Linked DNA regions of Lepisosteus oculatus. The protein of the gene in region 2 interacts with the protein of the main gene of each other region in a pairwise test. Links are inferred from orthologs where the notes say so. Each region holds a gene or a part of one and is shown on either strand. Other genes may lie near its edges.

Region 1 (3,753 bases), on a different chromosome or scaffold from region 2:
AATCTGTCAACCTGCTGATCAGGATAGGAGAACCGCTATCTACTCTAACTCCAGCTGGATTTAAAAGGTGGCAGAGTTTCTCTGCACTGGTGTATCCCGTGCAGACTGGCAAAAGAGACTATCCAGCTCCTGTAGAGCACAGAACAGACAGATGCAGGTGTTTGTAAAGGATACAGGTTATAGGGGTCTGGAACTCTTCTAAACAAACTGTACAGGATATGATCCCGGTGTTTCTACTTCGTTCCCTGTGACAGAGAGAAAAAAAATACAGATATCCAGAAGCATGCACACAGACAGAGCCCCCGAGAAGACATGTCTGTACATCTCCATTTAAGACACTGTTCTTCTCTACGAGGACACACTAGTACACTATTACACTCTTCGGTATATGAGATCCATCAACGTTAATTATTGACTGTCTCTCAATCAAGGGCAACCCCTTGGATTGTAGTGTCCTGACTTGTGAGCAAGAAGACTGTCAAAACATCTTGCTAAGTTGCTCCCCTGTTATGTGTACACATAACCTTTCCAAAGCTGCACGCAAGTACAAATTTCCTACCTTACCTCCAAGCTGCACCCAAAAAAAAGGGATGGTCTGAAGCATAATAAATACTTGCTCTAAAAATGATTCCTGACAAGTCATTCACTCAGGGACCCTATCTAAGACACTCTAGGACTGGGCCCCCCAGCAGTAATGCGGATCCTTACATTTTCACGTCACAGGACTTCTCGTGGTTGCAGAAGGGGCAGGTGAACTGAGTGTCCAGGTTTCCAGTCATCTTTTTCTTGGGAGGGGGCTTTCTCTTCGACTTGCGGCGGCCCATTTTCTACCTGGAGGGCGGAAAAGACAATCAGCATGCGAGGCTGAGCACAGGAAGTCCCAATCGGGGACAGCAGGAAGTGAGACAAGGCCAGTCCACAGAATCTCAGCATCTTTGGGCTTTTGTCCCAAGTCCATCAGGCGTTTAACCTGGTTTCTTACTTTGACTTTGTCTACAATTAAGTCTTAGCTTATTTTACTTTTAAGACTTGTTTTCTTTATTGAAAAAAATAAGTATTTTTAACAGCTGGGTGCTTCAAACACTTCAGTAAAGAAACTGTTCCCGCAAAACAGATCAGAGCCCAGTCAGAAGCACTGCAGGCAAAGAATTAATTTGACCATTTAGTAACTGGAAATAAGATGGGAGCCACGATTTAGGCTTGAGAAGAGCCGAATATCGGTTGGGCAATTTTTATACAGCAAAGGCAGGAACCCCACCAGCCTCAAACTTCCCTTATAACGACAATATCGGGGTTCCTAAACTCCCCATTTGCCAACCCCATTAACACAACACAATACATTAATGGTAGGCGAGATAAGTGGTCTCCCACGTTTTTTTTAGAACAGAGGAATTTATCAAATGATTCGCCTATACGTCAAGGCATAGATGAACCCCAGTTTTCTCTGGGCCCCATCATTAAACTATTGCACTCTTCAATACCTCTTTATCCATTACATCCTAGTTTTTCCCCCACGATGTTTTGAAAGAGAAGGGGATCATCTGGGAGATTTGTGACGCGTGGGTACACCCTGTATCCAGAACTGTGGAAGCACAACTTGAAAAGCGTGTCCTCTACTACCTACAAAACAGGGCGAAACTCGTTCTGCCTCAACACAGTAAGATACGGTTCGTGCTGTTGCAACCGATACTCCACGAACCCCAAAAGCGAAAAACGAAATCCGACTGAACCCAACAAAAAAAAACAGTTGTCCGGATATGACAAAGAATTTAACGACGGATTTATTGTATCTTCATGTTTCTACGCTCTACGTAATCGCCCGAGCTTCGTCTTTAAGTGTCTGCTAGGTAACCACAACGGAAGAAAAGCCTTGTAAATTGCGCTCATTTCAAAGATTAAACTGCAGTAACTCATTAAACATTTCAGCACTTTCCACAGGAGCTGTGCGACCTAACGACCATGTAGAATAATTTGAGCCATCGCATTACTTACCACTGAATAAGGAAACAACTGAATTGATAATTTCACTGAACAATTAATTGCTAAAGCTCATAATCTAAAACCGCTCACATGGTGTTTTTTATCTCGTCGTGAAGTCCCCAGCTGCGATTCTTTGGGGATCACATATTACTCACCCTCGTTCCCTAGTTTAGCTATTTACACTTTTTCGCTCTTTAATTAAACGCCGTGGTCGACGACAGCCATTTTTTAAAAACAATTAACGTAATTAAAAAAGTGATTACCTTATCACGTCTACCTAATCTTCCCAAACACACGCAGCCTCCACAAACAGGAAACTACATCTGATTCCGGAAGTCTTCGCCAAACCTTTAATCTGATTGGTCACCTTGGTAAAACCATCTGTGTTCTGATTGGCGCTTCGACCTGTCGATTATTTTGGATTCCTCTTCCCTTTTTGTTTTCCAGTGAAAACCTTCGCGCTGCTGGTTTCGAGAGCCGATTGCGACCTCAAGTGTTGATGTGGGTGATTGTTAACGGTGAACTTGCTTACTGTGTGTCTGGGATGTATAAAAGAAGCACTCAGGTCGTGGTCTCGCTTATGGGCTGCACATTATCCAGATGTTTGCTTCATCCACGATGTATATTATGCCTGGGAAACACGGCGTGCACAACAAGAATACGCTTTTTAGACTCGTTGAAAGTAAAACTATTACCTCCAGGGCATTGCTCCTGCTAAAAAATGTCGCTTTGCTGTACAATAGAGTTTGTCACTTGTATTAGTAATACAGTATTAGTAATCATCCCAGTAAAGGGTTTCTTATTTGTTTTGTAGCACAGCATATTCAGCTGTAGCATTTAAAAAAATATTATTCAAGCGTTAGTATGCCCTGTATATTGGAGCACAGAGTCAACAAACAAACTACATTTATCAGCAGGGTTTTAAGGAGCGCACTAACAAATCCATCGCTATTAAACGATGGTAAGAACAGAAGTTGATAGGCAAACGTTGCAGAGAGAGGAGACCATTCAGATCCATCTCGTTCATTGGGTTGCGCTAATTTATGAATCCAAGGCTCTCGCCCACAGAGACGATCCCTTTGAATCTGCTTCACCATCGTGGATGGGGCATTTGTTAATACTCCGCGATTAAGGGTCCAGCTGACTGAAATGTTTTCATAGTCTCGAATCAGTGCGGTTCAGTCAGCGTACTGGTCATCCCACCTCGTTACTAGTTTAATTTAACCAGTTTATCAACTTCTTCCCGCTTTCCAGGGGTTGTTGTATTTACGTACACAGACAGATTCTCCAGGACCGGAGCTAGACGACATTGACCTAAATTAAAGAACGTGGAGAAGCAAGAATAGTGAATTGTAATACTTCTGGAAACAAAGCCAAAGAAAAAACGTTTTGGAAAAGAGGAAGTCTGAGTCCTACGAGCCACCGTATGGCATACCTGAGGGGGACGTGTTTATGTATATTAAGAAATTTGTTTACGTGTATGATTGGCTCCTGTGAAGAACGGCTCTGTTTAATATTCAATCTAAAGAGATTTGATTCGTTAATGTTAGAAGGCGGCGGGGGGGTAAGGGTCCTATTGTTGAAGTAGGTGAGGGTGCGCGGGCACGACTCCTGCAGTTTAATGTCCAATTTATATCTTTAAAAGACTTCTGCCGACGAAAGAAAGACATTTTTATAAGTTTACAAAGGACTGGTAAGTATTCTGTTAAACTCAGTTGCTCCTTTATTTTACGGTTGGATTGTCAATTGTCTCACGTTTTTAAACGTTTTTTT
Region 2 (3,753 bases):
CTGCATACACCATGGGCATAATCCAATTCTCAATACTTAGCTCACTGGAAAGATATTAAAATATCAGATAATGTTTAAGACTAAAATTCAAGGGGACAGATTAATGGCTTTTTTCCCCTAAGAATTTATGCCTACTTATTACAGAGCTCCTCGGGTCGTGGCAAACATTACTGAACTACAGACTCCAGCAAACAAAATATATCAGGTATTATAACTCAGCTTTAAACGTTAAAAGCTTTGTGGAAAGAAAGTCATGAAATACAAAATACTTGAATGCACTTAATTCAATACCGTGAAACAAAAATGAAATTGTTATTTGAAATGAGTCATTGAAAAAAATCCGATATAGACCCCTTAGTCTTCTGCTACAGTCGCCAAGTTGTGGTAGCGATAGAAATAAAGTGGGAGAGTACTAAGAAAGCAGTGGCATTTAAAAAAAACAGCAAAGATTAGAAAGGAATGTCTTATTTTACTTTCTTGCTAGAATTCTTCGAACAGGTGATGAACATAGTAGAGAAGCCTTGATTTAAAAGGGTCAGGTAGAGGTTCATTCGCTGCTAAAAGGTAGGGAAAGAAAAACAACACTTGGTCTGTGGAGCCTTCTTCAGGTGTGAAGGAGGGAGAGAAAGTACAGTAGCAGATCAATATGGCATAGCAGGACAAAACAACAGAGTAGGTGAAAGGGACGGGGAGCAGTTGGGAAATGGGCATAAAGCAGGTGAGAATGAAACTAGAGGATAACAGGATGAGAGGTGTGGAAAGCCTAAATGATTAATTTAGTAGCAAACAGTACAAAATATTTAGATATCCAGAAAGATTTTATAAAGAGACTTATACAAATTCATGAACTACACAGACACAAGGCTAATTTCATTTAAAATTAATATTAATATGTGCAAGCAATTGACACTTCTTAAAAGGAACACACTATTTAACTTAATATTGCATGGGTGATTCGGTCCCACAGCAAGCTAAAAGCAGAGCGGCAGGGTGGCGCAGTGGTAAGCATGACTGCCTCGTAGTGCTTGGGGTCCTGAGTTCAATTTTGAACCTGGGGTGCTATCGGCATGGAGTTTGTATGTTCTGCACGTGTTTGCGTGGGTTCCCTCTGGGTGTGACAGTTTCCTTCCAAGGGCATACTGGTAGGTTAATTGGCATCCAGGAAAATTGGCCCTAGATGTGAGTGTGCGTCCTGCGATGGACTGGCACCCAGTCCAAGATGTACCCTCCTTTGAGCCTGCTGCTTGCTGGGATAGGTTCTGGCTCTATGGAAACCCTGAATTGGAAGAAGCTGTTAGAAATTGGATAATGGGACACATGGACAGACAATCAGTGTTCGGATCAGGAGAGAAGAGACAGCGAGAGACATATGTTCTTTTTTTTTTTCCTCGCACAGCTATCAAACCACAGGTAAGATGTTCATGAAAAAACAACCATCATGTTCATTATCATGTTTGTTCCTGCAATCCTTTCAGAATATCTGTGACCAATGAACACATCTTACCTAAACAGCTCTTCTTTGTCGAACACGGTGTCAGCAGGCATGTTGACAGGAATAAGCAGGTCGGGGTGGGAATCTAAATGGATCATTTTGATGTTCTTTATAGGTAAATGTCTGGAGCCAATGGCGCGATAGATGTGAGGTAGCACCTGTATTAGAATAAAGTGCAGAGATTGCAATTGCGGTTTGTAAAACGAGCAACGTGATCTGTCAACTGTCGGCTTTCCCATAATTGTACTTTGTTACAACAGTGTAGCATTAATAGTACTGTTTATTCTTCGGGAAAATAGCTGGTAATGTCCAAAATGTATTTTTTTATTCGCATTTTATTTTTGTGAGGGTCTTAAACTATAACTATATATATATATTACATGAATTTACCCGGAACACTTACAGGATTGATTAAACAAAACTGACCACAGTTCGCAGTGTATATACATGAGGCTATAAATAGCATAAATACATATTGATGACAATATTCCTCTTTGTACAGTCTTCGGTATTCATTATACTACAGGGTTAAGACTGTATTTTACAATCAACTATTGCTTTCAATTTGCAATTCGTATTCTGAAAGCTGGATATATTAAGGCTGTAAGCAGGGAAAGGAAACGCAGACAATTAGATTAAAAAAAAGTGAAACTGGTACTCACATCATGATGATCTTCCACTATCCAGACGGGGACATCTTTATAAACTCTACTTGGCGCTTGAGTGGAATTCATACCACCTCCTCAAAAAAAAGAAAAAAGAAAAAACAAACCACTTGCTCTCTGCCTGCCTGCAGTTTATTTTAGCCTTGTTGACGGGGGACCCGTCTCAGTGTAACACACGCCGTTTCCTAGCCGCGATTGGTGGAGCTGTCCCGTCTCTGCAAGCGATTGGGCCGAAGTCGTCCGTCTCGGTCTTTTGCGCCGCGATGAAACACGTTGCCTTCACTTATGCTTCCCCGGTTGTTTAAATCTTAAAACATCTTTCCAGTTTCCCTTGTCTCATGAAGGCAGCGGCTAGATTTATGCGTTGCTAGGAATACATGGTACAGAGTCGAGAAGCTAAAAAACTGAAAAGCTGTTGTTTTAAAGTGATTGCGTGTTACAAACCGGAATATGCCAGTCGTCGCATCCGCTCAGAGGAAAGGAAGGCGAGCCGATATCAACAGGGATCATTTCCTGTTGAGATTATGGTGCTGAGCTTGAAGCGGCGATACACATGTAAAATGTAGGGTAATGACCAAACTTTTTATCTTGCTAGCAACAATTCTTTTAGGTAAATCGTTTTAACTCTTCTTGGAGACTGGCGATCGTTGTCTTTTGTTCTAAACATTTTATCGTTAAAGGTAAGTTTCTGTAACATGCAGCTTTGAATTTCTTTATACCGTTGTATGCTTTGGTAAAAAAAAAACGTAAAAAACGTGCAAGCGATAGGCTAGTTTGTCTCGGTTATATTAAGAACTGAACAGGCTACAATATCTCAGGCTACAATAATGTTTTTCCCCCCATGTTGTCAATTTGAACGAATTTATGTTATTTACCTATACAAGTCAGATGGTGCAGTCACGAAACACACAGCATTGTTGACGGTATTTTTATTTTATATATAAAAAAATCTTGCTCATAATTATTTATGGCGCTTTTAAACAGCAAATCATACTGATACACAACGATGCCGGACATCGGTAGCAGTCCCACACTTTAAATGGGCACGATGAAATACGTCAATATAGAAATCCAGCATCAACTTTTATTCTTTTTTTGCGTCGTATTTAACATACAGTATGCACTTCAGCCATTTAAACTTATAGACCACTTCATTGAAATATTTGATTGATTCGATGTTTAACCTTTTTTTTCGCATTTTGGCTAGAGACTCACATACGGGCAGCCTTTTGTGTGTCGTTTCCATGAATTACAGTGATACCATCACATCTTTGATGCCATACAGGATGTAGACTTAAATATGATCAGCTTTATGCCTGCCATTTCCACGAAATACAGTGATCAAAACTCCGTTTTAACTTGGTTTAAAACTGTTGCTCTCCCGTTGCTTTCTAAACAGCTCTTATTGTTTGTCAGTTAACAATGCGCAGACAGAATTGGGAATGATACTGTCAAGCACTCTGATTAAAAAAAAAAAAGAGGCATTCCTATTGCTGCGTAGGTCTGTTCATTAGGTTTAACCAAATAATTGAAAATACATTAGTGTGTGGGGAATCGAAACAGATTTGGGCACCAGTTTCATTCTTATTTCTAACA

Evidence for each region. The genes of interacting proteins can lie anywhere in the genome.
Region 1: the proteins of c6h5orf22 (region 2) and elof1 interact in binary tests that used the Homo sapiens proteins (3 or more experiments, as listed by UniProt). The two-hybrid records come from large-scale screens. The link is inferred for Lepisosteus oculatus from reciprocal best matches to the Homo sapiens genes C5orf22 and ELOF1.

Annotation. Positions count from the first base shown.
Region 1 is NC_090706.1:17,279,418-17,283,170, reverse strand, and holds the start of elof1 (transcription elongation factor 1 homolog), read right to left. Parts: upstream 2,346-3,753; 5' UTR 2,244-2,345; intron 2,110-2,243; exon of another isoform or gene 1,993-2,109; intron 1,824-1,992; exon of another isoform or gene 1,482-1,823; intron 832-1,481; 5' UTR 825-831; coding exon 709-824; intron 246-708; coding exon 175-245; intron 1-174. UniProt on the Homo sapiens protein: Factor involved in transcription-coupled nucleotide excision repair (TC-NER), a mechanism that rapidly removes RNA polymerase II-blocking lesions from the transcribed strand of active genes.
Region 2 is NC_090701.1:6,470,028-6,473,780, forward strand, and holds the start of c6h5orf22 (UPF0489 protein C5orf22 homolog), read right to left. Parts: upstream 2,409-3,753; 5' UTR 2,227-2,408; coding exon 2,155-2,226; intron 1,651-2,154; coding exon 1,505-1,650; intron 45-1,504; coding exon 1-44.